Linked DNA regions of Saccharomyces cerevisiae S288C. Changing the gene in region 3 together with the main gene of any one other region gives a genetic interaction. Each region holds a gene or a part of one and is shown on either strand. Other genes may lie near its edges. The genes, in order: SHE4, SKT5, ARC40 and SAC6.

Region 1 (7,421 bases), on a different chromosome or scaffold from region 3:
ATTGAAAAGCAAGCGCTAAGAATGGCGCGGCGCCTATTTCTTGGTTCCAAACCATCAATAGAAATTGTGTGAGTAATGGTGGTCGCACTTGGACCTTCAGGAATCATATCACTATCTTCAACACCTTTACTTTCACTGGTATATATAGAGTTTTCGAAGGGTATCAGATTGATAAATTTTGCCTTGTGCTCCTCCTTGATTAAGATGAACAATTCAGGAGTCGTGATTCCTTTTAATATCTGGAAGAACTGGACAATCAACATAGCCCCCAGCCAGATGAAGTTTACGCTAATCCAAATGAATAAAAAAAAGGTAGAGGGATCGTAATTAGAACCCTTACACAAAGTCTCATTCTTGAGCAGGGCACATCTTGCATATTCTTCAACTTGTTCGTAAATATAGTTCGTTTTCTTAAAATATGCCAGACATAACCACATGAACAAAAACATGTGATATTGGACCGTCACAGCAAAGAAGACAAAAAGTTTGTGATTTTTTAAGCCAACATCATTATAAATCCATGGACAATAATGGTCATATCTGGCCACCAGGGCGCCGCTAAAGAAAGAATATTTACTCCTCAAAGGCTTCCTTTCTAATGTCTCAACACAAAAGTTTTCCCTATCAAACTTCCCTAAGTCAATCAGTTGTTTTATTGTTTCTTGTATCGAAGTCAAACTATCATCCGTTTTCAGACAACCAGGATCTGACCGTACTAATCTCAGAAATAGTACAACTGTGAGAAAGGAAGTAACCAAAAACTGGACGTTTTTCATGGTATAGTCAGATACACTATATGGATAGAGTTTCTTCGTCCATATATATATTAAAAAACAGAAAGTGGACAGAAAGAGGCCACTGAAAAAGGGAGTTCTAGTCAAAGAAACTTTGTAAGTGTTTTTTCTGGGAAGGCATGGTAATACAAACTTCTTTAATGTGTTGACCATGACAACAGTGACCAGTAGGGAAAGCATAATGGCTAGCACTGGAGAAAGAACGAGAGAAATTAAGTATATGTAAACCATGAGTAAAAATGGTGACAAAAAAATTGTGAATTGTGCATGCGAGCTTTTCTTGAACAGTTTGTCTTTCTGATTTCCAAGCCTGTCATATCCATGATGTTGCAACGCTTGTTCAAAAAGTGATTTGGTTCCCATTCCTTCGGCTAGATCAAAACAGTCTTGCTTCTGGTTATTCCTTTCGTAGAAATTTGCACCGCTAAGTATTAAGTCACATATGACCCTTTGATCACCTCCAACTAGAGCACAATGGAGAGCATTGAACCCTCTGTTGTCCGTCCATGCAACTGTGGAGCCAAATTTCAATAAAAGTTCTACAGTGAGAAAATCTCCTTGATAAGCAGCCCAAAGTAGGGGTGTTCTGTTATTGTTATCTTTTGAATCGATATCGACGTTGTCATTGTTGTTTACGACAAAATAAAGAACATAAACAACAAGTAAAATGTTAGAACTGTAAACGCTAAAATGCATGATGTTAAGACCCTGCTCATCTTTGAGCGTCGGATCAGCGCCATGTTTGAGAAGCAGGTCAACAATGTAGATATTACCGTACCTTGCGGCCCAGTGCAAAGCAGTAGCCCCTCCGGGGCCTGCCGCCTGGTTAGGATTTGCTCCCCTAAGTAATAGGAACTTTGCTACAGAAAACCTATTGTTTATACAGGCCCAGTGTAAGCCGGATAATTCATCAATGCGGTCGTTATTAATATCCACTGCTCCACTTTCGACCACGTCCTTCACCACTTTTAAATCCCCATCCTTAGCGGCTTCAATGAAAATATCAACCACATATTCAGTGTTGGATCCATCGCCTAGAAGTTGCGCTTTGTTATTGTCCGAATCACTTACAGCGTGTTGAGCCACATCAGTGACAACAGCTGCCCCATTAGAAGTTTTTTTCACGTTCTCATCATCAATAATTGACATACTGGTCATAAGAAACAGTAGAGTATTTCACAGGTAATTAAGATGTTTATCTGACCGATGAACTTTACAACTTGCTAGTAAAAAGTTGGTGGAGTTCAGTTATTATTAAATGAAAAATGCAAAGTTTTGACGCTTTCTAATTGTAAACGACAAAGTGAATGATAAAAAGATCGCTGAACGAAAGATGATTCCAAATACTCAAAAATAGCAGCCATACAAACTGGAACTACTAAATTCAACTAAGATTAAGCGATTAAGAAGTCAGGCTCGTTTAACAACAAGCTTGGTACATCCCAGGCTGCACGAAGTCGTAACTTAAAAAAAAATAAAGAAGCGAAAAAGAGAAGATCATTTCCTTTGGCATCTATTGTTTGCGAAGCCATCGGACCGAGGCACCTTTGAAAAAAAAAAAAAGGAGCACTTTCTTCCTTTTTCTCTCACCCAGATTCTTTTAGAACACGTAGGGTACCAGACATAATTTAGAGTAGTGTGATACTTCTGGTGTAAAAATAGAACAAAATATATAAAGGGCACCACTACCAGAGGATATTCTCTGGCTACGAAAATCTTACATAGTTCTTGTGTGTTCATTATCAGGGTGCTGTTGTATTTCTTAGTGAAAATTAAGAAGAGTTAAACATGGCGATTCTTTCCATATTAGACTTTAATTTTAGCAAGGATAACGGGAATTGCCGCTGAAAACTCTGGTCCTGAATCGCCTCTCTTTAAAGACATATTTAAAGCATCCTTTAATTTTTGATTTTCTTGCAGCAACGGATACACCTCGTTAGTGCCATTATCCGGTATCACTTCGAATAATCCAAAAAAAAGCATAAGTAACCTTTGTCTTAACTCAATGTCATCAATTTGATCCGCAAATACCTGAATAGCATTTTCGATTAGTTCTTTCTTGGTTAACAGTTCCTTAGCTATCAATGGAATCGTGGTGGCAATGTTAGCAAAGATAGCAGCCACTGCTCGTTGAGACTCAACGTCGGATAACTGAAGAAGTTTCACCAATATATTAAAATTTCTCAAACTCTGAGGATTTTCCAAGTTAAAGAACTTAGCAGCAATCGTTAATGGATGACTCATCATATTACTTATGAGCTCTAATGTTGATCTTTGCAAAGGAACGTTTTCGTCTAGCATCAGATTCTCAATCGTGGACCAATATACTTTTGTAGATACGATATGCTTGCAAACTTCTTCACCATCAGAGGTCTCCGATGATGCCAAGTTCGTCAGAGCTAATAGTGCCTCGTAATTGTCTGTCAGCTTTATTTGTTCGTCGTTATGTAACGGATTGTCATCCACTGGCGTAGACCTTGGCAACAATTCGAACAAGAAGGGGATAGCGTTTAATGCAGAGTATTTTTTAAATATCAAACCCGGATTAGTGAATATTAGCATTCTTGTTAATGCCCGACACCCTAGAATCCGTATTGGCTCCCCTATGTCCTGCTTATTGGCCAAATATTCTAAGATGATAGTTGTACCACCTTGTGAAATGCATTGAGGAATGAAGTTTTTCGAGCGGGTTATGTTATATATAACCCTAACCACTTGTTGTTTACAATTGGGGCTCAAATTGTGCATTTCCCTCTTCAAAAAGGAAATCAGCTCGGTCCTTAATATGTACTTTTCGTTAAACAAAAGAATATCTTCCTTTGATTCTTTCTCTGCGCCTACCTTGTCTGCGCCTGGGCCCTTCAAATCTGCGTAATTTTTTAAGTCATTGATAGACTGTGAACTACCATTGGATTCCTCTGGTAAAGTGGACAAATTTGCCATGATAACTAAGAGACCATATAAACAGTGCGTCATTTTCTGGCTTTTAATCATAGTTAATAGAATTTCAGTAAAGCTCTCGTTACTCCTAATCATAATCTTAACCGAGGCCTTTAGACTTAAATATGCCAGCGCTTCAACGGACATTTCAACTTTAGGAACCTCCTCGAGCTTAACCGCACTTTCATTGACATTTTCAATTTTTGGCATGATACGTCTTGAAATAGCGTTTATAAAGATTTCGGACAGTTGCTTCAAGTTTATACACGTTAATTTTGTGAAAGACCATGTCTTAACTAACACCAATGCAGAATATATTTGTACATCTTCCACGTTTAGTGATCTTTCCAATAGTTGAAGGTAATTTTCTGTAATATACGTTCTCATGGTCTCATCAATACACGCGGAAGATAATAACCGCAGCAGTTCTTTTGTAAACTGTAAATCCTGCTCTTCGAATACTCTCTTCTTAAAAAGCTTACTTAGTCCTTTGGTCAAAAATATTTCAGAACAAAGTGTTGTCAATGAAGGATATAATTCTGATAGGGTTTTGACTATGATGGACAATGGATCATTTCCAACGTCTATTTCTGCCTCCACAATTAAGCTACTCATGAAATCGACCACTGCTTTATCAAAGTCTTTTTGGAAGCTTGATTGTAATTCAGCAAAAATTATAAGCATCATCGATTTTACTTCATCTTCGCTTATGCGCAAAATAAGTTCCTTCACTAAAAATCGCACCTCCTTGAAATTGTACTTGAACTTATTCAATAGTTGTAGAATTATGCTCAGTAAATACGTGACGTGGGTGTCCTCGCCATAGTGTATCCTAATTTGCAGCTCATTTAACAATGCAATTGTTGCGTCTTTATTGGAAAAGCAACCAACGAAAACGTGGATGGATGATCTTGATAATATTTCAAATAAATTGAGTGCGAAGGGAATATCATTCTGTATAAGTTTAGATAAATGTACGCGGGACTCAGAATGGTCTTGGTAAGACCTGGTCAATATTTCTTCGATTTTCTGACGATCTTTAAGGGCTTCACTATTCGTTAAATCAGCCGGCATTTTCCCAGATTCAGATTTTTGCCTTAGCTGGAAAATTGTATTTATAGCATCATTGTATTTTTGGACATCAGGGGTGGATTTCAAAGTCTTGTCAAATGCAGCGCAGAGGCTATCAATAGTAGAGCTATCGATTGGATCATTCCCTTTCTCACACAGTGGCATCGTGATTCTAATTTTTTAGTAATCTTTTCATGTGAGTAGTTTAGATAAAACGTCTTCACTATTAAGTAGAAGATTCGTAATTGGATTTAAGCCTTCGTGCCTTATCGCGGCTGATAATCATCATGATCGACGATGAACTACTGCGCCAGAGTATAATCCCCTATAAAACAGGCCTGCTATCACTCCAAAGAGAATGCTTTTATAGAAGAATATAACGTAAATTACTACAATAATTGTGTTGAGATGTCGGAAGACGAATTTTTTGGTGGTGATAATGAAGCCGTTTGGAACGGTTCCAGATTCAGTGATTCACCTGAGTTCCAAACGTTGAAAGAAGAGGTTGCTGCAGAGTTATTTGAAATAAATGGGCAAATAAGCACGCTGCAGCAGTTTACCGCGACACTTAAGTCATTTATAGATCGGGGAGATGTTAGTGCGAAAGTTGTGGAAAGAATTAATAAGAGATCTGTGGCAAAGATAGAAGAAATAGGCGGGCTCATTAAAAAGGTCAATACATCAGTGAAAAAGATGGATGCGATTGAGGAAGCTAGCCTGGATAAGACTCAAATAATAGCGAGAGAGAAACTTGTGAGGGATGTCAGTTACTCTTTTCAAGAGTTTCAAGGTATTCAGCGGCAGTTTACCCAAGTAATGAAACAAGTTAATGAAAGAGCAAAAGAATCTCTTGAAGCAAGTGAGATGGCAAATGATGCTGCTTTATTAGATGAAGAACAAAGGCAGAATAGCTCAAAAAGTACTCGAATACCAGGCAGCCAAATAGTCATTGAGAGAGACCCGATAAATAACGAAGAGTTTGCTTATCAGCAAAATCTTATCGAGCAAAGAGACCAGGAAATCAGCAATATTGAAAGAGGTATAACGGAACTGAACGAAGTTTTTAAAGATTTGGGAAGTGTTGTTCAACAGCAGGGTGTGCTAGTTGACAATATTGAAGCAAATATTTATACAACGTCAGATAACACTCAATTGGCTTCAGACGAGCTAAGGAAGGCCATGCGGTACCAAAAACGTACGAGCAGATGGAGGGTGTATTTGTTGATTGTGCTTCTCGTAATGCTTCTTTTTATTTTTCTCATTATGAAATTGTAAACCAAACCAACACACGTCGTCAAATATCATATACATAATATATACACTTAAAACAGATTCGTGTTAATGAACTTGTTTTGCACTTTCACTGTACAATGCATGGGCTCTCTCATAATATTTCTACGCCGTCGCATCTTAACCAGCCGCAAAGAGAGAGTATATTCCATAATTCAGTTTTTCGCCTTTCCTTGCCCTTCTGAAATGTTGTTAATATCATCATACCCTAATGAAGAGTGAAAATTCACTTAACCCAAGTGAAAAATACAACTTCGAAGAGTGCAACGTGTTGAAAGAACCCTTCAAAAATAGAAAAGAGGAAACGAAAAAAAGAAAAAGTAGCATGCTGTGGAAAAATTATGTTCTATCCAGTTCCCGAATAACACGTAGGCTTCATAAGTCACCTAGAAAGAGCAGCTTCTCTAAGAACTTTTTTATCACAGGCTGCCTACTGACAGTTGGAGCAGTAAGCAGTTATTTAACCTACAGGTACACAAGTGAGAGGGAAAACAAACATGAGTTATCTCCATCTTATTTTGTCAAGTACAAGATTTCACACAAGCGAGATATTGATTCATCACATTTTTTATTGGAAGTAACTCCGTTGTTTAAGCAGAAAGTTAACATATGGTCATTGATGACTGCGGAAAATCTGTGGTCCGTCGAGATCAAACAACCGGAAGTCATGGTGGTCCGCAATTATACGCCTCTACCGCTTAAATTTAACCCAGCTTCAAAAGAGATTGAAATCTTAAAAGATGGTGACAATGCAGATGGAAAATTATCTTTCTATATTAAGAAGTATGAGAATGGAGAAGTTGCAAGATGGTTACACCATCTTCCCAAGGGACATATAATTGAAATAAGAGGCCCGTTTATCGATTATGAGTTTCCTCATTTGCCTAATGAGCTAAAAAGATCTCGCGATTGTTTATACATGGATAATCGCAATGAAAGGGGCAATAACGTTAGAGAAAATTCCCAATTTATTTACCAGCCTTATGACATAATGATGTTCACCGCTGGTACCGGAATAGTTACTGCGTTGCAACTACTTTTGACTGAATCACCATTTAGAGGTACTATAAAGTTATTTCATACGGATAAGAACATTAAACAACTGGGACCCTTGTATCCTATCCTTTTAAGACTTCAAGCTTCAAACAGGGTCCAGTTAAAAATTTTTGAAACAGACCGACAAACTAAACAAGACGTATTGAAAAGTATCCAGAAATCAATCACGAAGCCCTACCCATACAAAGGTCTGCTCCCCTTTTCCAACGTTAACAACAAGAATATTATGCCTGTGTTGGCATTGGTATGCGGCCCCGAAAGTTATATTAG
Region 2 (8,422 bases), 580 kb from region 3:
GGCCAGTCCTTTATTTCGAATTTTCTTCTTGTGTTTACATTATGTTTCAATTCGCATATTACATTAATAGAGAAAGACCTATTAAAAAATCGCTGCGCGTCCAATAACATTCACTGATTTACAAGTGCAGTTGAACAAAAGCAAGATAAGACAAGTACTACAACATGCATCCACAGTTAGAAGCTGAACGTTTTCATTGTAAGTATCCAGATTTTACTTCATATATTTGCCTTTTTCTGTGCTCCGACTTACTAACATTGTATTCTCCCCTTCTTCATTTTAGCCTGTTTGGACTTCATCAATGCACTCGATAAATGCCATCAAAAGGAATATTACAAGAGAATATTTGGCCTTTGTAACAACGAAAAGGATGCTTTGAACAAGTGTCTCAAGGAGGCAAGTTTGAATAACAAGAAACGTGCTGTCATTGAAAGTAGAATAAAGAGAGCTGATGTAGAAAAGAGATGGAAGAAAATTGAGGAAGAAGAATATGGCGAGGACGCTATATTAAAGACTATCTTAGATAGACAGTACGCCAAGAAAAAGCAGGAAAGTGACAATGATGCGAACTCGAAATAAAAGCTTTTTTTCTGTCGCTACTTCATTCACACAAATCATCTCAATATCCCTTGTAAATAAAAGGCAGAGTACAGTTTTCAAGTTTATATTTCTTCAGCGCAGTCTTTATATTTATATCTTTAAATATACTTAGAACTGAACAGAACCCATGGCTTTTTGCAAAGCTTTCAAGTAGCTCAGTCGTTTCTTATATTGATTATTCATATACAAATATCTCGAATTCCAATTATTCATGACTGCTTCAAAATAGTTATCGTCAAAGCTCCAAATTTCGACCAGCTTATCCTTTATTTCGTTATGTTTATCTATCCATATACCAAGCTGTCTGGTGAAGTTCATCAATTCCTTTAGCCTTTCTTTTAGTTCGACCATCTCTACATCTTTCGCATCTTCGTATAGTAGCTCTAGCCCCAATAGTGGCTTCCATTCACTTACAACAATATTTTTAAGATTGAGGGAAGCGTGCTCTGTCAAGATCTTGTCACTCCATCCATATTCTGCGTTAGATACGGCTTCGAATTGTGTTAAAGGAACTGGAGAAATCCTACCTGCCCAGAAGTTGATACAGTCCATAAACTTGTGGGCTTCTTCAACACTTCTCGTCTGGAACTCCAGAACAAGCTTTGGTCCGTTGATATTCTCTGGAAAACTAACGGTAAAGTTGCCACTTTTCCTCTTGGTGTTTTTGTTACACACATTTGATTTCATTGCTCCACTACCTATAATTATATTATCTTGCACGACATGTGCTTCAGCTTCAAGCAGTGAGTAAGCAAAATAAGAGCTACTGATATCTTTGAAATAGTCGATGGTAGCACTGTCTGTTTCACTTGATTGGATGATATCCTTAACATCTGGTTTAATTTTGAAAATAAAAATTCTGCCCTCCTTGACCTGTATTTTCACCCTCTCCCATTCAGAATCCTTATTCAAATACGATAAAGAAGTCCTTCTAGATGTGTGCTCAATAAGTGTAGTCGTTTTAGATGGTTTTAGCCATCCGAAGAACGATTTGTTTCTCTTAGAGGTCATTTTTGGTGCCGCCACTTGATCTTTGTCTCTTTTAGAATATTTACGTGGTAAAGATTTCTTGCTTATAAGAATTAAATCGTCCATGAACCAACTGGAGCCGTTTTCGGTAATTAAACCGTCATCAAAAGACTCTTTAAGGTAGAGTGCATCCATGGGGTGATTATTGTGAAAGTTTTTATTTGATTTTGCGCTCATTTCTCGTACAGATACTTGACCATCTCTTGAATATAGTGTAGTAGAATTAGAGTTAACACTACGTAAATTTGATGTACTAAATTCCCGTGATCCTAGAGTAGAGAACCTTTTCAAGGAAGATTGGTTATCTGATATATTTATTGATGTTCTAGATTCTGTGCATAACGGTAAAGGCGTTTCATTTAACGTTTTATAGTATTCGGAAAGTTCTTCGATGATCAAATGTTCGCGGGAGTATATTTTCAATTCTTCGTATTCATTTTCCTCTCTTAGTGCCCTCAGTGTATTGTTGATAAATGCAACCATGGAAAACTTAATCTTTTTATGGTCAACTTGAAAGTTGTTGTGCAAATCCGAATTAAGGATCAACAGGGAAAATAAGACTATATGACATGACTTATAGCCTGACTTCCAATGTGTGTTCGGGTGGCAAGCTATCCATTCTATGCTCAAGCACTCTAGTATCCGGTCGATATTTTGCGCTTCTGCAATGAAATATATACTTTTCGATAAATTGAAAAGCGTTTCTAATAGTGACGACGGCAAAGGACTCAATAACTTTACAAACTCAGTCAAGACTTGATTATTGTTATCGTTTCCCAAGAAATTTGCATATTCCTTGTAAGATACATCTTTGAAAGTGCCTTCCAAGATCTCTGAGGCAATAAGATGACTATTCTGATCAGTTTCCTCGGATTGAGTGGAGCTAATATCTTCAGTACCAGTCCCCGCAGTGGCGGTATCCGTAGTAGGTATCACAGGTTTTTCGTCATTAGCAGCTTCCTTGTTTTGTAAAATATCACACATGTTGACCATCGTGGGAGACTGTAGCATATTTTTCATGCTAGTGGGCATCGACTTACTACCATGAAGGACGCCCTCACTTTCACTGAAATTGTCATTGTAGCCCTTTTGTGAGACCCCATAGGTGTCATTCTTTTTTACCTCGTTTAAACTGGCGCACATACCTCTTTGCGATCCCTTAATAGTCCATTGACTGCACAAAATTGTACCATCTAGTCAGCCTTACTGATCTCAAAGTTGATCCGTAAGATCAATGAACCGTCTCTATCATCTATAGATATTTTGCACCCAAACATCGCATTTTAAGTTCATTTGATTTAATATAATACATTTGAACATGCCATCGCACTTAGCTGCCATGTATAGGCCATAACTAATCGCTAATTATTTGTTGCAACTATCTGCAAATCTATACGACATATGTACATATGACTTTCACGAGTCTTCATGCATGTTTTAAGAAAGGTCATCGTTATATTTTCCCACGTTTCACTTCGCGTTTTGACTTGCTAAAAAAAGAACGAAAAATTCTTTCTGCAGACCCTCTCGAGGATGATGTAAGATTTAAGAGTAGAGACAAACTAGGTGTTGGCACTTGACTTTAGACTTGCTGTTAATAAGCCTTCCATTGTATACTACCAGGTTCTCGTCTTTTTTGGTGATAAAGTTAAAATAAAAGGATAAAAAATGGCAAGTTCACCGCAGGTACATCCATATAAGAAGCATTTAATGCAATCACAGCATATAAATTTTGATAACAGGGGCCTACAGTTTCAAAACAGTTCGTTGAAGGTAGGTCAAGATTTTTCAGATAATAAAGAGAATAGGGAAAACAGGGACAATGAAGACTTCAGTACCGCAGACCTTCCTAAGCGGTCGGCAAACCAACCGCTTATCAATGAGCATCTTAGAGCTGCGTCAGTACCTCTACTATCAAACGATATAGGCAATAGTCAAGAGGAAGATTTCGTTCCAGTCCCACCCCCACAGCTTCATCTTAATAATTCAAATAATACTTCCTTAAGTTCTTTGGGAAGTACTCCTACAAATTCTCCGTCACCGGGAGCATTAAGACAGACAAATTCGAGTACATCTCTTACGAAGGAGCAAATAAAGAAAAGAACTCGTTCTGTAGATTTGTCTCACATGTACCTGTTGAATGGTAGCAGTGATACCCAATTAACGGCTACTAATGAATCTGTAGCAGATTTGTCACATCAGATGATCAGTCGATATTTGGGTGGTAAAAATAATACTTCCTTAGTTCCAAGGCTAAAAACAATAGAAATGTATAGACAAAACGTTAAAAAATCTAAAGATCCTGAAGTGTTATTCCAGTATGCGCAATATATGTTACAAACCGCACTGACTATTGAATCTTCCAATGCTCTTGTTCAAGATAGTGACAAGGAAGGAAATGTCAGCCAATCTGACTTAAAACTTCAGTTTTTGAAAGAAGCGCAAAGTTATTTGAAGAAACTGAGCATAAAGGGTTATTCAGATGCCCAATACTTATTAGCGGACGGCTACTCATCCGGAGCATTTGGGAAGATTGAAAATAAAGAAGCATTTGTCTTATTTCAAGCAGCTGCAAAGCATGGTCATATAGAAAGTGCTTACAGAGCATCGCATTGCTTAGAAGAAGGACTAGGAACAACAAGAGATTCTCGTAAGTCAGTCAATTTTTTAAAGTTTGCGGCTAGCAGGAATCATCCCTCAGCAATGTATAAATTGGGACTTTATTCATTCTACGGCAGAATGGGTCTTCCAACCGACGTTAATACTAAATTAAATGGGGTAAAATGGTTATCAAGGGCTGCAGCAAGAGCTAATGAGTTGACGGCCGCAGCACCATACGAATTGGCTAAGATTTATCATGAAGGGTTCTTAGATGTTGTCATTCCGGATGAAAAGTATGCAATGGAACTATATATTCAAGCAGCAAGTTTAGGGCATGTTCCTTCAGCAACTTTGTTGGCACAGATTTATGAAACAGGTAATGATACAGTAGGGCAGGATACATCACTTTCTGTACACTATTATACGCAGGCAGCGTTAAAAGGCGATTCTGTGGCAATGTTAGGTTTATGTGCATGGTACTTACTGGGAGCAGAACCTGCTTTTGAAAAAGATGAAAATGAGGCTTTTCAATGGGCCTTGCGTGCAGCTAATGCTGGTTTGCCAAAGGCCCAATTCACTCTGGGCTACTTCTATGAGCATGGCAAGGGCTGTGATCGTAACATGGAATACGCATGGAAATGGTACGAGAAAGCTGCAGGGAACGAGGACAAGAGGGCGATTAATAAGCTACGCTCAAGGGACGGTGGACTAGCCAGCATTGGTAAAAAACAGCATAAAAAAAATAAAAGTATCAGTACTTTGAATTTATTCTCTACTGTGGACAGTCAAACAAGTAACGTAGGGTCAAATTCAAGAGTTTCTTCAAAATCTGAAACATTCTTTACTGGAAATCCAAAACGTGATCGTGAGCCACAAGGTTTGCAAATTAACATGAATTCAAACACGAATAGAAATGGTATTAAAACGGGTTCTGATACAAGCATCAGGAAAAGTTCTTCCTCAGCAAAGGGAATGTCAAGGGAAGTTGCTGAGCAGTCGATGGCAGCAAAGCAAGAAGTTAGTTTATCAAATATGGGCAGTTCAAACATGATTCGTAAAGATTTTCCTGCAGTAAAAACTGAGTCAAAAAAACCTACAAGCTTGAAGAACAAGAAGGATAAACAAGGTAAAAAAAAAAAAGACTGTGTAATTATGTAAGTACACATACTAGATTGTTTTCATTCTTTATAGGTGCAACAGTTTACACTCAATGCATATAGTGATACAAATATTTTACAATGGCTATATCCCCTTATTGATGAAGTTTTTTATTTTGCAGTATGTCATTATTTTCAGTTTCTTCTCCCTTCAATATTGGCTCGGTGGTAAATCTTCTCTTCAAATTGTTCTGCGATTCTCGTCCAGTACCCTCTGTATTTGGTAAGGTCTTTGATCTATTGGACTTGGCCGAGTTTATGCTTTTCGGTATAAGAACTTTTGGTAGAGGTTGATCAGGCACTGGCACTGGGGTTTTTGGACTGAATTGTGAAAGAGGAAAATTTTCATTAGTTGACAAGTTTGGTATACAAGTACGAGAATTAGATGTGTCGTCTTTGCTCTTATTTTCAGCATCCCTATAAATCTGAAATTGTTTTGGATAATCCAATAAGGGTAAAGCCTTGATTACTGACGCTTCAGGTCTTGTATGCTCATGAAGGGGTTTTTCTATGCTGTGAGCAGTGAAAATGTCCATACCCAGTATTTTCAGTGATTGTAGCTTCTCGCAATGTTCAGAAAGCACCTCATCTTGTGTTTTTGAGATTTGCATAATATTCTCATCGTAATCAGTTAATATAAAATTGCACAAAGAATTAAAATTTTCATTTATTGCAATCAAATTGATATTGTTTTCATTAGATATGGTTTCAATTTGTGATTGTATTTCATCTATTAATGACATGATCTTCTCATTTGTTAGGGCAATGTCTGAACAAATTATATTTTGAAATTTTTTAATAGAGGTCAATACTGGATTTGATGCGATTGTGTTATCATCGCCACAGGTTTCACAAATGGTTTGTGATATCTTGTTTAAAAATTCATTGATGGGCAAACTTCTCAGTTTGGAGGATATGTCCATGTTCATTCCGCGTGATAGACTGATTAAATCGTTAGTAAAGCTTTCATTGTTCTGAGAAACCGTTTTCAAAGTGTTTTCAGCATTATGAGCGAGGGATGCTATTGAGTCGGAATGAATTTTATTAACTACGATATCTGTTTCGTTGAAAATAGAGGCCGTCTTCTGCCAGATATCTTGATCCAACTTAGATTGTTTATCTTTTAGGTTATCGATACATTTGTTAAGTTCGTCGTGGAATTCACTACGCGTCCTGGAAACGTGATCCTGAAAATATCGCTTCATTTCAGCCAACTGTTGGTTGAATTGGTTAGAAATCCTGCGCTCATTGATCAGATCGTTTTTCAGTTTTTTTATTTCTAAATCTTGCTCTTTAATTAATTTCGATGATCCTGACTGCTGGTTTTCTATTAAAACATTCATACTATTCAAGTTAGTGGTGCAATTTTGCGATATTTCGTTTATGGAAGTTAGAATTGAACTGCCTATCGAATCAAGACAGCTTTTAATATCGTTTTGTAAATTTTTTAGAAATTGTTGATGTGATTGGTAGATTTCATTCAAATCTTTACGATAGTGAGAAGTAGAATCACTCTGAAATATTTCCAATGAAGTCGAAATACTACGCACCAGTTCGTTCATCTGATTCATCAATAAGTTAGTAGTAATGTTTAATAACGATTTGAGAGTAGAATCGTGTTTCGCCTTATGGGTATTTACGTTCCTGGTTAGTTCTTCGGTGACGCCTTTGATAACTTCGGAACATTTAGAGTTATAATTATTTAAAGAGCCCTGTAAAGTGTTCAAAGTCTGTAAAACTTGTTGAGAGATTTTTAATTGCATGTTCTGGTTCGTATTATACTGTTTTTGAGAATTTTCTAGTGAAAAATCTCTCTGTTGTATGACTTCATTCATTAGTTCGAGATTAGTATGGTGAATTTTTTGGATTTCCGAGTAAAAGTTAGAAAAATCGACATTAAAATTCTGTATTATGGCAATTAGTTTTTCCTTTTCAGACTGTAAAAGATTATTGATATCTAATTGGTTCAGGTAGTTTTCTTTGAATTTTTTAATTTGTTCTCGCAGGTTATGTATTTTTAGATTTTGCTCATCAATCAAGATAGAATTGCTCTCGTAAAGGTCCAACTGATCTTGAGTTATAAATATACCTTGTTTGTTTCTTGAATTTTTCAAATCATTTCTTAATTTTTCAATCTCTTGAATGTAGTCTTTGAGACATGTATCCTTCGATAAAGACTGATTTACTTGTGGAGTATTCTTAATTGATTTGGCTCTCGTTGCATATTCTAGCGTACTTGCAGTCTCTTCCATGGATATTTTCGCAGGTGATATAGTTGCGATAATGCATGTTTTCGTCATACCACCTAAAGAGTCTTGTAGCAATCTTGTTAGCTTAGATTCTCTGTAAGGTATATGGTTAGAATGATCAACGAGTGCGTTGATAACACGGCCTAGTGTTAGCAGCGATTTGTTTATTAGGCCAGCTTCTTGAGCCCTTTTATTCTCCGCACCCGATCTGTTGATGTTTTCACTGCCTGCCAAATCCACCAAATTCAATTTGCCAATTTTAACAAAATTTTTGTTTTGTCCATGGTCTTTGCTATCTTGCTCAACTATGTTTGTTGTGATTGTAAAGACGGTGTGAGACCTTGATGAAAGATCGTTGCATTTAGTAGCGGCCACTTTCCTTTTTAACGAACCCTGCATTAGCAAATTCAAGCCTTCGTGTGCAGAGTTAATAAAGATTTCCTGCATCCCCTTGACCATGATGGATGAATTATTGTTGTTATTGTCAAAAATACGAATCTGCCTCTTGGGATCGTTGACTGCAGGATCATCGTCCTCACTATCAGAGAGCAGATCTTTCAAATTTTCATTGTACAACTCTAAAAAGGATATTTTTACGGAGTACTCTTTATTTAAGGAGCTCAATTCTTTAAACAAATCGACCAGAACCCGTGGTATGATACCTGCATGCTCTCCTAATAATAGATTATCGGTAGATTGCACATCACCGAGAATATTTATATCGCCAGACATAGTGTAGGTTTTACCTGTTCCCGTTTGACCGTATGCAAATATTGTACAATTGTA
Region 3 (7,455 bases):
GTCAAAGTCGCTGTGAAACATACACGGCGTTGTAGTCACAGTATGGAACACAATCTTTCACCTTTACAGCAAGAAGTATTGGACAAATACAAACAGCTTTCTTTAGATCTAAAAGCTCTGGATGAAACTATAAAAGAACTAAACTATTCGCAACACAGGCAACAGCATTCACAGCAAGAAACTGTATCGCCAGATGAGATACTACAGGAGATGAGGGACATAGAGGTCAAAATTGGTTTAGTTGGGACACTGCTAAAAGGTAGCGTGTACTCGCTTATCTTGCAAAGAAAGCAAGAACAGGAGTCTTTGGGTAGCAATTCTAAATAATGGTTTGGTGCAAGAAATTGATTCTGATGCTTTATTTTTTACGGTACACTACATTGTGCTGTGAGTTGTAATAATATAGTCTGTATATGCCAAGTGAAGAAAAAAACAATACAAACTCAAGGTGTATTATGAGGTAGGGAATACACATAACAATATATATATATACGTATGTATATTTAAATTGTATAAATGACGATCTTACCGTCTAACCCACAGGAAGAGACTTGTGTGATTTGGCCGTTGGATTCCGCAAAAGGTCTTAATTCCACAATGGCGTTTTCATGTGCACTTTCTTGGACATCTGTGCTAACTTTACCTTTCAAGTCTAATTCTTTAAACTTTCTCAATGCGGAAATACCGAAAGTTGAACTTTCATCATTATTACCACTCAGCTCGTCTGTATTACCAGATGCAGTTAAGGCAGAAGACTTGTTATTGTCTGATTTGTCTAGATTCTTCGCAAATTTCCAGCCTTCAGAGGCTTCGCTGAACAATACCGGATGACAAGAGTATCCTCCACAAACAATCTCGTGGTCGTTTATCCATACTAAGGACCTGTAAGGTAAACCTTCCGGAGCATTGACAGATTGCACTGGAGATTGGTAATCGACAACATTCAAAGTACCATCATGCGCTACATAAGCAATTCTTTCCATCTGACTTCTCCATTCCACATCATGGATATAAGAACCCTGATACCACTCCCTGATTAAACAACCAAAAGGGAATTTCTGGCCCCAGGGTGATCCGGCGACGGATTCCTTGGAATCCAAACCCTTGATAAACCCGCTGAACACACGCATAAACCCATCAGTACCACCAGCAGCTAATAGGACTCCATTTGCATGCCAAGACAGGCAATTGATGGTAGATTTGATGGGTTTCTTGATGTGCTTGGATACCCACCAATTATTCTCGTGTTCGTAATAACAAACAGCGATGATTCTAGCACTGGACCCAACAGCAAACTTATAACCATTTGGTGCCCATGTAACTGAAGTAGCTGCTCTGTTAATACGAAGAAGTACTAACGTGGGCTTGTATGTCCCATCACTCAATGGCTCCCAAACGTAAGCATTACGGTCTTGGGAGCAAGTCACAATACGACCATGTATGGAAATGTCCACAGCAGTAATGGTTTTATCATGATCTTTCAACGTTGCGAATAAAACGGGAGGTGTGTTGTTTGAAACTCTATAGACAAGACAATCTGTTTCGCATGTAACGGCTAAAATAGATTTATCTTGAGAAAAGCAATGAGAGTAGATTGGCGCTTTGACCAGCTTGTAGACGGCAACAACGGACTTGTCTTTAGAATTGGAAAATGACATTAGGAGACTCTCAACTAATATACGTTTACTTCGGCTTATTTTTCCTATTTTTCTTTGTTTCTAATCTGGAAGCTTTCTCGATCAAGATTGCTCTTATTTGACCCTTTTTCATTATAGGCAAGGCGCGGGCGGGTGACAAGAAGATTTTGATAATTGTGCAACTGATAACGTAGGATTCATTATCAACATTGTTGTTAAAGAGTAACAAGGAAATCTAAGAAATGGTTGTGCTTGTTGTCGAAGAAGTGATAGAGACAGTGTTTTTGCCAGCCAATTCTCTTTAAGAATAGGCCTTTCTTGTAGGATTAATGGTTAGTAGGTTTTATCAGATTCCAGGTACGCATCGGCCATCGTCGGCAATATCTTCTTCAAATGAATCTTCTTCACTGTTGTCTGCAAGGAGAATAAGTCAAACATATTTCAATTATCAGGCGACCCCTGAATGCCAAAAAGTTTCCTCTAAGTATGATCCTGATAACCCAAACAAAGATAAGTTGGGAACATACGATGGGGTATTTGTGCCTACTGCTTTAAACGTATTGTCTATCCTTATGTTTCTTCGTTTTGGCTTCATTTTGGGTCAGTTAGGTATTATATGCACCATCGGTCTTCTGCTATTGAGTTACACTATTAATCTTCTCACCACGTTAAGTATATCTGCTATATCTACAAACGGGACTGTTAGGGGCGGGGGTGCTTATTATATGATTTCAAGAAGTTTAGGACCTGAATTTGGTGGATCCATTGGGCTTGTCTTTTTCTTAGGGCAGGTGTTCAATGCAGGTATGAACGCAGTGGGTATTATCGAACCTTTACTCTATAACTTGGGTTATTCTGCTCAAGGCGAGCCACCTGCAGCTTTGGGAGAGCTACTACCAAGAGGGCATTGGCACGAATTTACATATGCCACGGTCATTCTTTTCTTATGTTTTTCTGTGGCTTTTGTTGGCTCGCAAACAGTGTCAAGAGCAGGGAATATTCTTTTTTTGGTACTGGCAGCTTCTATATTTTCCATTCCACTTTCTGCATTGATAAGATCGCCATTCACTGAAGGCGGTATCAGTTATACAGGTCCTTCATGGCAAACTTTTCATGATAACCTGCTCCCTCACTTAACAAAAGGTGCAGCAGGTTCGTTACTCAAAGGTAAGGAAACATTCAATGATTTATTTGGCGTTTTTTTTCCTGCTACAGCTGGTATATTCGCGGGCGCAGGAATGTCAAGTGAATTGAGAAAGCCCTCTAAATCAATTCCTAAGGGTACCTTATGGGGTTTACTTTTCACTTTTATCTGTTATGCCGTTGTTGTCTTCTCCATGGGTTGTTCCATTCCCAGAAGATCGTTATATGATGAAGTACAAATTATACAGACGATCAGTTCCGTTCAGTGGGTTATATTCATGGGTGAAATGGCTACTTCTCTTTTCTCCATCATAGTGGGGATGCTCGGTGCTGCTTATGTATTAGAAGCAATTGCAAAGGATAACATTATTCCTGGTTTGGAGATTTTTGCTCATTCACCGTTATATTCATTGATTTTTACTTGGATTCTAACACAGCTATGTTTGTTTTCAGACGTCAATAAAATCGCCACATTTATCACAATGACATTCTTAATGACGTTTGTGGTCATGAATTTGGCGTGCTTCCTATTAGGTATTTCCTCTGCTCCCAATTTCAGGCCCTCTTTCAAATACTTTAACAGGTATACTACAGCAATTGGCGCATTACTTTCTGTTGTTGCGATGTTAATAGTTGATGGCATCTCAGCGTCTGTCTTGTTTTTGGCTATGATTTTGCTATTTTTATTCATTCATTATTTTTCACCACCGAAGTCTTGGGGTGATGTGTCTCAAAGTTTAATATATCATCAAGTGAGAAAGTATTTGCTTCGCCTACGTCAAGACAATATTAAATACTGGAGGCCTCAAATATTGCTGTTTGTAGATAATCCAAGGACGAGCTGGAACTTAATAAGGTTTTGCAATCATTTGAAAAAAGGTGGTTTGTATATTTTAGGCCATGTTGCAGTAACTGCGGATTTTCCGAAGCAACTAAATGAATTAAAAACTCAGCAGAAAGCTTGGATGAAGATCAGAGACATGGCAGCAATAAAGGCTTTTGTCCAAGTTGGGACTGGTCCCTCCCTTATATGGGGAATTAGGAATGTTTTTATTGGTTCCGGGCTTGGAGGTATGAAACCAAACATTACTGTTGTCGGTTTTTTTGACCTCGAAAGTTATAGAAAGCACATCCCACAAAGTCGCAGCCAAAATAACCTTCAGAAACAGGTGGAAATAAAAGCTACAGTGCCACGTAGTACATGCTCTGATGTCAAAATCAATGTTCCATTGCCTACGGATGAGTGTAAAAATGAAACCAAAGTTAATGTACAACAATGGGTTCAAATTGTAGAAGATCTATCACTGATGCAATCCAATATTGCCATAGCGCATGGATTCAAAAATTTAGAGATACCGAACAAAAGGGACAGCTGCTTTCCAAAAAAAACTATAGATCTTTATCCCATCCAAATGTGCGGAAAAGTTGAGGCAAAGGGTGACCAGCCTGCGGCTATCACTACTAACTTTGATACGTATACACTGATTCTACAATTAGCTGCCATTTTGGTTACTGTTCCTGAATGGAAGCGCACACATTCGCTTCGAGTTATTTTATTTGTGGAACAAGAATATCATAGAACGAACGAAACTCAACGAATGAAAAAGCTATTACAGGTTCTAAGAATTGACGCAGAGGTTTTGGTAGTATCTTTAGATCAATTCAGAGTATACAACACAATTGTCAAGGGAGACCCAATCGTGTTTGATTATGTCAACTCGAAATTGGCCGATAATGAATGGTGGAAAGATTTGGTTGAAGCTCGTGATACATTAAAACCGAAGCGGAGGTTTTCCACTATTGAACCTCAAACGATAGCAAAGCAATTTACACAATCAAGAAAATATACGTCTGGGGTTCAGAAATTGGGTGTCTCATTTACAATGAATACGAGAATGCCAACTAACCGCATTGATACCCCATGCGAGAGTGAGGACTCCGATTTGGATACAGATCTTACGTCAATTCGTGATGCCTTCTCGGCATCGACTAATATTTCAGTAGGTAAGGACTTAACGACCAAATCGAAGACCGGTTCCGACAGAACAAATTTACTCGTAAAGAATTTACAAAGCGATGTGTCAACACAGTCGTTAAGACCCGTTTTCTCGAGTAATACTTTGCCGAGGACGAGAGTCGTGGAAGATGGCACGGGTGAACAGCCGACACTGATCCCAATTGCCGAACCTGACCTTTCGAATGGGAACGGTACTGGGAGCGGTATTGGCAACGGCAACAAATTAAAGAAACCGGTTCTTCCCGAATTATCACCTTGTTGTTCAAAAGATAGTTTAGTCACAGCGATGCAAAATTTAGGTTTCAATGATCTTCCCAGCACTGCTCAACATTTGGTTCTGAATGATGTGATGACACAAATGTCAAAGAGTTCGGATTTAATTTTTTCAACCTTGCCAGTTCCAGCTCTTGGAACACATGAAGATCACGATGCAAGTTTACAATATGTCGAGGACTTGGATATTTGGTTGGAGGGCTTACCTCCATGCATGTTAATCAATTCGCAAACCATGACAGTAACTACTGCATTATAGAATAACACATATATCGTTATGCATTTCCCCAGAACTTATTTACTACATATAGAAGTCTTGTAATACGGCCGAAATACAGATGCTTTATAGTAGGGTTATTGTTTCTATTCATTTTTATTTCAGTTGGGCTTTACGCTTTCCGGTTCGATATACTGTTTTACCTTACGGAATGCAAACATGGTATAGAAATATGATGCCGCTTCCTTTTCATCCCCTTCAACACCATATCTACCATCAGATCTTTGTAAACCTTCCCTCATTTTAGGCGAAAACCTCTCAATCCATTTGGGAATTTCTTGGACAAAAAATTTATTAAAAGGCATTTGCGATACTAGTTCCAAACCGTATTCATCAGCCAAACTTCTTAAGGTTTCGAATGGCACAACATATTCAGGAACATTATCTATAGCATCTTCTAGCCAATAAGTATACATTTGACCATAAGGCGATGTGAACTCATAATCATTCTTTTGGTATGAATTATTCTCAAATGTCACTTTATAAATGGAGTTTCCCCAAGATGGCTTTTCCACTTCTTTGGGAAATTTATTCAGTTTATAACGAATGAATTCTGAATCTGGTATCGTGCCAAAAAAGTGACCACCAATTTTGAGTGATTTGGCGACATTCAGTAAAGCTCTCCTTGCTTTTTCTTCGGTCTCAAAAGCATAATGCAAGCAAAATTGCGTCGAAACGATATCACACGGAAATCTACAGTCTGGGAAGGGCTCTACTGCAACACCTAATGATTCGCCAAAGCAATCCCCAGTAATTAGCACAACTTGGTAGTCCAAATTTCTCATGGACCGGTATCTCTTATGAGCTTCTTGGATAGAGGCATTGGAAATGTCAATACCAATAAACTGTGAAATACCTGCAGCACCATATTTTCTTAAATCACCACCTTTGCCACATCCGAGTTCTAAAACGACATCTCCAGGTTTTGTATATTTGTCAATTAACATATACTTAATCGCATTGTTAAAATTACGAAGCTTAATAATAGGCGATAGATTCCTCTTAGCGCGATTGGCGATTATTGTACGTTCATTATAGTGCTCTCGGACAATCTGGTCAACATTTATGGATCTATTTGCAGTCATCTCTATTTCATGTCTCTTTAGTTGCTCTTCTCTCAATTTTTGAGCACGCTGTTTGCGTAATCTTTCCTCTTGATCATACCTTTCATGTCTTCTCTTTTGGATTTTAAACCCGGATTCTGCCTCAATGGGTAGATCAGACACCTTAGAAGTAAGGATAGAGCTGCTTTGCAAAACTGGTAATGATCCATTACCATCACCAGGCGCATTGGCAGTAACTTTGGAGTCTTTTTTTGAGACTGTGGACGATTCATCACCAGTAATTGAGCCGTACTGACGGTCATAGTCTTCTTGTGACATCCATATTGGCTTCTCTGGTTTGGTTGACATTCTACTTTTCTAAGACGGATAATGGACGACTCCACGTTGTAGTAGTTGTCACATTAATCGGAAAAGTGTCTCACATGTAAAGGATTAAAATAAGAAATCTTCTAATTTATGTTGAAATATCTTGATTTACCATTACCCGGATTAGATGAAACTAATTAAAGTCATTTAGAGCAATGGACCAAACTAAAGGTATTAGAGTTCTTTCTAATATAATACAGCGCCAAATAATTCGAGAAGGGAAATCATAACGCTGTTGCCTTGGGTTTATTTGAGGTATGGAAACTATTGATTCGAAGCAAAATATTAATAGGGAGTCTTTATTGGAGGAAAGGAGGAAAAAACTAGCAAAATGGAAACAAAAAAAAGCACAATTTGATGCTCAGAAAGAGCATCAAACTTCACGCAATGACATTGTTACTAACAGTTTAGAAGGTAAGCAGACTACTGAAAAGTTTACGGAAAGACAGGAACGTGTAAAAGAAGAGCTTCGGAAGAGAAAAAATGAATTTAGGAAATCTGACGAACCTGTATCGGTTAAGCCTTCGAAGAAAAAGTCGAAGAGAAGTAAGGTAAAGAAGAAAATATCCTTCGACTTCAGTGATGACGATGATTCTGAAATAGGAGTTTCTTTTAGATCGAAGGAGCACATTCAAAAAGCTCCAGAGCATGATAATGAAAAAGATCCACTGGATGAGT
Region 4 (8,657 bases), on a different chromosome or scaffold from region 3:
ACAATTGGTCAAAAGTATACTGACTCAAATCTTTACTGCCTGGAGCCATGTATACGATTTGTTTTAGGTGAGAAGGTTAGCCTGGAGGACATCGAAGAAGGGCAAGAACCCTTATTAAATTTTGATATTGCAGATCACATAGATTTTGAAGAATTATCGTCACTGGATAGTTCATATTCCGATTCTCAAAACCCGGAAAACCTTTCTTCGCAATCAGATATAGAGTCATACAAGGAAGCACTGGTATTCCCAGATACTTCGAATCAAGGTTTGGATTTTGGAAGAAATTTAGCTCTTGATACGACACCTGTTCCAAATGGGTGTGGATCTTGTTGGACTGCAACAGGTGAACTCTTCTGCTTCTTTGCAAATGAGAAAAAACCCGAGAAAAAGCAAAATGCAATAATTAAACTCTCTCAAAAAGAAGCAGGGGTAGAGAAGCATCCTTTTAAAATTGAGCCTCAAGTTTTATATGATAAGGAAGTTGACAGCAGTGTAATCACCGCTGCTGATGAATTGAAAGCTCGCCCTAAGCGGTACGTGGACACCTTGGGGCTGGGAGGCGGTACTAATGGGGATTCAAGAACATACTTTGACGACGAGACATCTTCCGACGATTCATTTGATAGTGTCGCGGACGATTGGGACGATATATTGAGAAATGATATAATAGTGAGAACAAAAATTCCAATACTAAGAGGTAATTTTAAAGCTTTCAGCTCAGTACATTCGGAATCCGGGAAAACAGTAGAATCTACCAAAAAAAATAAGAATTTAGTGATTTCCAAAAATTTCAGCAGTTTATTAAGCGACCGCAAAGAACTAGCATTAGAATACTTATTTATGGATGCCACACCGGAAGGATTTGCTAGAAATAACGCTTTGGTGGCAGAAAAGTTTGACCTTGATGAAATTAGTCATTGTTGGCAAATATTATCTGATATGTTGATAGACCAAAGTGATTACGATCCTTATACTACTATATGGAATAACCATCCCATGGGGATAAAGTGGTTCATAAAGGAAGCGATTGTCTACTTTGAGAGGCAACAAAATTTACAGATGCTGGCCATGTTATGCTGTGTCATATTAAGCGCCAGGAGAAAAAAGATTCCAGCCAGATATTATGGGCAAGAATTAGAGAATATGGAAGGAACCATTGTGTTTAATGACAACGAAAGTCAAAACACATCATTTTGGAAAGGATCTGATGCTTTTTCCACCAGGTCTAGGAGTAGCACTGTTACACCAAATTTTTATGGTAATCATTTGAGAGGAAAAAACATTCATGGAGGAGACAACTCCTCAATAAGGTCCGACGACCACCACGCTAGGTTAAGGACGCACAACACTCTTAATGGTAGTAGTAAATTTACGGAGCCGGCCCAAAAGCAGGGCAGCCGTGCCATTTCATCCAGCCCTTTTCATAGTAGAATGCCTGACATCAAAGTCGAGCTTTTACATGACGATATTATAGAAGCTTATGAACAAGAAGACCTCTTACATTTAGAGGTATCAGACATACCAAAGTTCCAAACTTATATTTATCAATATTCAAAGTTACTTTTTAGATGGGGACTGCCTTTAGAAAGGGTCAAAATTCTAAAAGTTAGTACTGATTTCAGAAGTTCTTATAGTTCCCAAGGCATCCCCCCTAACAATAACAAGAAAAGTCCTTACAATGGTGTACTTACGCACTGGATCGAGAACAACGAGTTTGGAGAAGAAAAATTCCTAGCCCGAAATTGTAATTACTGTGATTTAAGAGTGACAAGAAGTAGCTTCATATGTGGAAATTGTCAACATGTTTTACACTCTTCGTGCGCGAGGATATGGTGGGAGATTGGTGATGAGTGCCCATCTGGATGTGGGTGCAATTGTCCGGAAATGTTCGATGCCTAAAAGCTTAACTATCACGTACATTTTCTGCATATTTCAAAGAACCTTGGATGTATATGAAAAAAAGTTCACAGGATATATGGCTTAATAAGTAGTTTATTTACGATTTTTTAATCCAGTAGAGGCATGATAGAAGACGACAACGGAATCATTGAGCGTTGGAGGCATTTTTACAATGGCTCAGTAATCACGAATAAAAGTAGGTGGAAGTTGAAATCTATTATTACATATTAAAAACTTCAGAAATACTTGAGGCTATATATTGTTGTACACTTAACCAATCGTATAACGGAGCATTGGAACAAGAAAGCTGAGTAGAAAACAGGTTACGAAAGTTGTTTGTTGGCTCATTTGTTCAAAGTCATTAACGAAGCGATAAAAGTAATAATTAATCTTGCACGAACTTCGTTGATATCTTCTGGCACCAACCAAATCAAAGCACCCAACTTTCTAGCAATAGAAATAGCCAATCTTGCGTTTGCGTACCTTTCTTCCTCGGTGTTACCAGGGGTGACTAGATCATAATCAACATAGCCCGGCGCGATACCATTCAGAACATCCAATAAGAAGTGGGCGTTTGATAAAGCTTGGTCCTTAAATGATCTAATGGTAGAGTTTTTACCACCTTTAGTTACCTGGTCTTGGGCCCACTTTAATATTTGAGAATCACTCATGTCTCTACCACTTGAGGATAATGTCTTCATGGTTATCGAAATATTTCTACGCATCAATTGCCACACTAACCCTAAGGTCAGTAATTTGTTACCATCTACAATATCAGATCCTTCGATACCAACCAAAGAAAATCCTTTGGCTCTGCCCAAGTCGACTGCATAGTTGGTGTTTTCTAAGGCTTTGAATCTGGATATCTCTGCACCCGAGGCCGGTCTTTTGTTGACATGTTTAAAATCAACAGCACCGGGCATCACCTTTTCGTAAGCTTGCAATAATATCAAACCATCCTTCAAATCATCAAACAGCGAAATGACAGGTGGATCAACGTCAAGAGAGTTCAACCATAAGGTAAAGACTCTTGCCTCTCTCTCACCTTCGGCGTCAAATTCTTCAATTTCAGGCTTTTCCTCTTCCTGAATAGGCTCTAATCCAGGATGTGTATTGAATAGATGTGCCACGAAAGCCAGGTTTAATTTAGGGTTCCCCGCAACTAATGAACTTGGGGTTAAATACTTTCTACAATCTAGCTTTTCAGCATTTTGTAAAACTTGCTCAGCTCTCTCCATTAAATCTGTGGTTTGTAATGGTGCCTTAGAACACAAGGCGGGGTCCAACTGGTTCAACAAGATAGTATAGTTTTCACCATCAGACACGTCTTTTGAAAAATTGGTAACCCTTCTGTTCCAGTTTGCTTGCTTCAAATGGTAGTTAAACCAACGTAGTAGAATTTGCTCCGGAGGCAACCTCAAAAATTGCTCCAACGTTTCATCATCCTCCAATAGACGGTATAACTCAGGATGCAGCTTAATATCAATTTTACTTAACAAACCTCTCCTAATAATTTGCCAAATCAAACCCAGGATCAAATGCTCTCTACCTTCAATAATGTCCTCGGAATGAACATTAACAACGACACAACCAATGGCTTTTGCAGAATTAATAACAATATTAGCATTTTCACTAGCCTGAAAATTATTCAATTCCTTACCCTTCTTAGGCCAATTCAAAACTCTTGTATCGATAGTATCAGGAACAGAGTCGTTGATCAACTTAGATAGCACCAACCCATCCCTACATTCATCAAATAATTGGAAAGTATCAGTAGGAAATGGAAGCAAATCACCTATATCTTGGTCTCCCGCCAAGACGCTATTGATATGTTTAGTAAATTCACGTCTTTCTTCTTCATTGATGGTATGTGTAGTACCTGTTTGGGAGCCAGCAACAATAATCTTGGCTTGAGTACCCTTACCCTTGTGCTGTAGTCCTGTGGCAGCAGTGGAAACAATAGGGGTTGAGTTAGGTGCTACGTTGAAAGTGGTCTGTGGAGCAGCTCCTGTTTTAGATTCTCTTAATTTTGCAACCAACCCGACGTAATCGTCCAGTTCAACACGGCCTGACGCATCCACACCCACATGCTTCAGGGTTTCTCTTGCTTCGTCATAAGTAGCATCACCATCTTTGGACACCGCTTCTAGAGCTTGCTGTTTTTCAACCCATCCTTTATCATCTAAGTCAATGGCTCTGAACTTTTCAATTGTGGAAAAAAGATCCTCTTGAGTCAAAATTGGAAATTTTCTCTAATCGCAGAAGAGTTTGTTAGTATATGAAACGTTTATTACAACCTAAAAGGTAGAAAAAACTTTTTCACTGTGCTCAGCAGTGTGGGAATTCGAGAAAGGCATACATACTTGTAATTTGACAATATTCATTGTGTTTTGGTGTACTCCTTAGGGCTAATATATCAGCTTCTTCTCTGATAATTTTAGTGTAAAGAGCTTTCTTGTTCTCCTGAAATAACCAAAATTTATATCGATAAATCTTCATTATAAACTTCGCCCCGTACTTTTGATATTTTTCCGCCTCCCGAGGAGTGCTTTTTCACATGAAGGCCATCGGGAACAAGAAGAAAAGCCGTTCACGTAAGAAAATAGGACCCTATATCCGGTCAGGATCACTCAAGCTGTATGTAAATGTAATATAGACAAAGCACCTTTAACTGCTAAGAATTAATTATAGTGTCGGAAATATAACATAACTTGCTTACTTCCTGTGTAAAAAATGTGAGAAGGGATATGATTACTTATGTTTCGGTATTTCCGTGAGTTGAAGTTCGATATTGGATAATCTTGATTCAATCTCTCGCTGTCTTCTCAACATTTGTAGTAGCAAGTCCTTTATTTCTTTAAGTTCCACGGTTTCTTCAGTCACTATATTATCAGGTAGTTTAAATTTTACACTTTTCTGGAAACTAGCTTTGTGTATCTTACCTTCGTTCGCCAGCATGGAATTCAGTTTAGTGTTCGATTTAGTAAGGGATTCTATGCCATTTCCCACGTCTTCCTCTTCTTTCTTGAGTTCAACTAATAAATTCTTCCCTTTCAATTTAGCTCGAGGAAGGTCATTCTCAAATGGGGCGTCCTTGAGCTCAGTATTAGAACAGAGGTCAGTGTTGCTTTTGGCATCCGATGGGAGAATATGTTGCTGCTGTTGCTGCTGTATCCTTTCAGGTGACATGAGTCCATTCTTAAACCGGGCCCGTATTCTCGTTAACGAACCATCACCCCCGATTTTATTTTCATTACTGAATGTCAGTTTGGTTGGTGATGTAGGGAATATTATATTAGTTATATGATCTGAGTTTTGGATCTTCACATTTTTATTCGAATTTTTGAACTGAGGCCTATCCAGGCTTTGAGTTTCCTTAGAGACATAGCCCTTCAGACATTCCGGCGACATAATCCTTCTTGGTGTTACTTGTATACTATGCTTCATTCCATCTGTCTTGTTAGGTGATATCCTCATAGGTGGTTTCAAAAACTCTTTTTGGCTTGTCGTCCTCAAAGGGGACATACTCAATCTCACAAAGACATTGTCCTTGTCACTTGGTATATTATTTCGACCAATCGTATTCCCTATGTCACGTAAACTCCTGCGGTTGCTTTTATTGCTCATAATTTGTTTTATTGAACTATGTCACATCACTGCAATCCAGTGAGAACACTGAGAAAGCTCTAACTAGACTATACAATCCATTTGTTTTGATTTCCTCTTGTTGACAATTTGCAGTATTTAGAGTATATATCATTATGTACGTGTTATAACCGCCATGTCTCACAGTATCAACTAAATAGAGCTTCTGCGTCCACCAATTCATAAACAGAGTTGCTTTTATAGCCATTATTATAGAAGAGGGGAACCGCGCATCGTTGTAACTCGTCCACTTGTATTATTTTTGTAGGTATACCGTTGATGGTTAGATATTCTAAGTTCGGCAAACTTTGCTCAAAAACTTTAAATACGTCTTTTAGATAATGAAGGTATAAGTGGTACAAACTAATGGCATCTTCTCTAGTAATTTTATTCACTGTAATATTCTCAGTATTTTCTATGGTGCTTTGCAGATTTTCATTGAACTTTCGTACAAACGTTTCAATAGGTACAGAATCCCATCCCATCGCAGGTGATTCGTTGTCAATAATGTTTGTATAGGGCATGATCTTGTTCTCGAAAAACATTTGGTAAAAGAAATTATGGGCTTGGAACTTATTTGGGTTCTTTAAAAGTTTTGACCGGGTTTCAGGAAAGATTTTTTTTAGAATGACCTCGTGAATTGTATTTTTGCAAGTTGAACAAGGGCAGAAACCATCGAAATTCAAGCGAGTTAGTGGGTTATCTGTCATGGGAAAAAAAAGCCTGTGATTTAGTTGGCAGTGTATGTCAAAACGCTGTAATTTTTTGCCACACACTTGTTTAGATAAGAAGTTAATCAACGACACATCGAAGTCAAATTTACCCATGTAATCAAGTTTCAGTATCTTTAAATTGTGAAACACAGCCAAACAATTCATTAGAAAAAATTCGCTGTAAACCAATGACGCTAATGATAGTTTCTCAATGTTCGGAAATTTCCAAAATCCTTCTAGCCCCCATTTGACATATAACCTGTCAAAACCACCTTCTTCGCCAGAGGGAAAATCGTCGCGACTGTACCAAGACAAAATCTCTAGCTGCCTTAAGGTGGAAGCATCAAATATGTCGATGTATTCTAGCTCTTTTAAGAAGTCATCGGAAGCGTCGTACTCCGCAAGGTTAAGTGTGTCGGGTCGCAAATTTAATACCAATGCTTTGATCTTCATAGGAGACCCGGTATTTTTGAAGTACTTCAATGCGTTTATATGAATGGAAAGTTTTTCTAATCGAGATAGATCGCACTTCAAGAGCAACCGATCAATTTTATTCAAATAAGAACCGCTTACACTGTTATGGGTGGGCATTAACGTTGGTGGCGTTAATGTTAGAGTTTTTAATTGCTTTGATAAAGGTTCTAGCCCCTTGTTAACTGATGAGCGAACAAATTGATCGACAAATTTCAAATTGGATCCATACTCGGATAGCAATTTAAGTACATTTGTCATCACATCTTCATTTAAATGCCATGTACAACGTATTCGATTAATTAAGGGACATAATCTTTTCGGTGACTCTGCTAATGTTCTTTCGAAATAACTAAATTTCACTTTAGCTAGTCTTCTATTCGACATGTCGTTTTTAGTATTGGAATCATCTTCATCTATGTAGTGAAAGTTTAGGACAGACCAATAACAGGTTCCAAATGAGTTATCATAGTCACCATTGATGTGATAGGTTTCATTAAGAAATAAATTCTGGTAGATGAAAGGTATAATTGATTCATAGGATCTTTTGCATACATATGTTAACGAAATTTTATCTTCCTGCGGAATTCTCCAGGCAATTTGTTTAAAAATCTCATAAGGTAACTTATCAAACATTTTTCGGGCCCTTTCAAATTGGCAGTAGGGTTATTTTTATCTATTTTAAGACACCAAAGTTTCTTCTTTTTGCACACATTATCCTACTATTTTCTCTACGTTACTTTATCTCTGGTTTTAAGAGGTGTCTGTATCCTAATTCCCGAAGTCGATTTTTTTCTTACATATTAACTGATAAATAACAAGAGAAAAGAGACAAGAGCCTACAAAAAGTAAGAAAAGAAGCTACTACAGGAATGTGAGTTACAATGGGTTTCCGTTATACTTCAAGTACTATAATGGCATATAAAAAATACAACGGAGAGCATACATATACTTAAAAGCTTGGCAGAAGAGTAATTTTATCAAGCTAATCCTACAGATATTCATATCCCTTGTAGTATTCCTTAGTTCCGTTAAATGCTATAGCTTTAATAGCTATCAGCATAATATTGCCATCTTTCACGGCCAGTTTCCAGAGAGACTTTCTTAAGTAAAGCTTTAAACCAGAACAAAATCTAAGGTCAAGTGGATCAGACACGTCAATGACCCTGTCATTGAATTTATTTTTATCAGTTAGCAAAGTTTGAACTTGAGAAATCTTAATGCCGTTTATGTCCAAATCACAGAGATATATGCATGCTGGAAGTAAATAATGAGTTTCAATTTTCGTCTGCGTACTATCGGATGGGAACCGATACTGGTAATTTTTCAACTTAGGCGCACCAGAGGGTGTATTTGGCAAATGACTTCCAAATAAGGCCTCAAACTTATAGGCGGATTCTCCAGTTATGTCTACATGGATACTTTGGCTTTCCTTATTGAGGATTATCGTACAATCAGTCGAATTTATTTGAAATATCAACTCTCTCGGATGCTTATCTAAAAAAGGTCTCTTATAACAAAGCATATTCCAGGAATCGTTATATTTTTCAGTCATGTCAAGTTTAATCTTTTTATTTGCTGGCTGTTCACGGGTTTTTGATAGCGAGTCGCATTCATTTATGCTACAGAAATCGTCTTCAAAGTAGGGCGAGGTTGAAAATGCAGAAGAAGCTGGAAAAGTGATGCCTTTTTTTGACAAATCCTTCAATAGGAGGCAAATCTCTTCTTTCCTTGTTATTGGGTTATAGCTAATATGAGATTTGATTAGCCGCTGTTCGAGATTTAAAAGCCTGTAATAACGGCACTCTTTTATCAAGGCATTTCTTTTATTATCATCTAGATCGATGGATGCTCCTCCCAGTAACGTCAGCAAATCTTTGAAGTACTCAGAAGATCTTGGAATGTAAGGAGCAGAATGAGATGGAG

What was found.
Region 1: mutations in ARC40 (region 3) and SHE4 are lethal when combined (synthetic lethality), as found in Saccharomyces cerevisiae (3 studies listed by BioGRID, with this or other methods).
Region 2: mutations in ARC40 (region 3) and SKT5 impair growth when combined (synthetic growth defect), as found in Saccharomyces cerevisiae (3 studies listed by BioGRID, with this or other methods).
Region 4: mutations in ARC40 (region 3) and SAC6 are lethal when combined (synthetic lethality), as found in Saccharomyces cerevisiae (2 studies listed by BioGRID).

Annotation. Positions count from the first base shown.
Region 1 is NC_001147.6:395,135-402,555, forward strand, and holds SHE4 (She4p), read right to left. Parts: upstream 4,971-7,421; coding exon 2,601-4,970; downstream 1-2,600. Other genes in the region: putative palmitoyltransferase AKR2, read right to left, coding at 1-1,952; YOR034C-A (uncharacterized protein), read right to left, coding at 2,292-2,534; SNAP receptor PEP12, read left to right, coding at 5,214-6,080; CYC2 (oxidoreductase), read left to right, coding at 6,421-7,421. UniProt on the Saccharomyces cerevisiae protein: Required for mother cell-specific ho expression. Might be required for the transport of factors (such as ASH1) that promote HO repression from the mother cell into its bud.
Region 2 is NC_001134.8:102,282-110,703, reverse strand, and holds SKT5 (Skt5p), read left to right. Parts: upstream 1-3,297; coding exon 3,298-5,388; downstream 5,389-8,422. Other genes in the region: IAI11 (Iai11p), read right to left, coding at 1-110; CMC2 (Cmc2p), read left to right, coding at 165-198, 284-579; Arf family guanine nucleotide exchange factor YEL1, read right to left, coding at 709-2,772; KIP1 (Kip1p), read right to left, coding at 5,483-8,422. UniProt on the Saccharomyces cerevisiae protein: Activator of the chitin synthase CHS3 which polymerizes chitin, a structural polymer of the fungal cell wall.
Region 3 is NC_001134.8:684,935-692,389, forward strand, and holds ARC40 (Arc40p), read right to left. Parts: upstream 1,659-7,455; coding exon 504-1,658; downstream 1-503. Other genes in the region: DAD3 (Dad3p), read left to right, coding at 43-327; VHC1 (Vhc1p), read left to right, coding at 1,967-5,329; ABD1 (mRNA (guanine-N7)-methyltransferase), read right to left, coding at 5,449-6,759; DEAD-box RNA helicase PRP5, read left to right, coding at 7,035-7,455. UniProt on the Saccharomyces cerevisiae protein: Functions as a component of the Arp2/3 complex which is involved in regulation of actin polymerization and together with an activating nucleation-promoting factor (NPF) mediates the formation of branched actin networks.
Region 4 is NC_001136.10:711,094-719,750, forward strand, and holds SAC6 (fimbrin), read right to left. Parts: upstream 4,287-8,657; coding exon 4,266-4,286; intron 4,155-4,265; coding exon 2,247-4,154; downstream 1-2,246. Other genes in the region: MTC5 (Mtc5p), read left to right, coding at 1-1,902; FIN1 (Fin1p), read right to left, coding at 4,654-5,529; YDR131C (uncharacterized protein), read right to left, coding at 5,697-7,367; MRX16 (Mrx16p), read right to left, coding at 7,723-8,657. UniProt on the Saccharomyces cerevisiae protein: Binds to actin, and functionally associates with actin structures involved in the development and maintenance of cell polarity.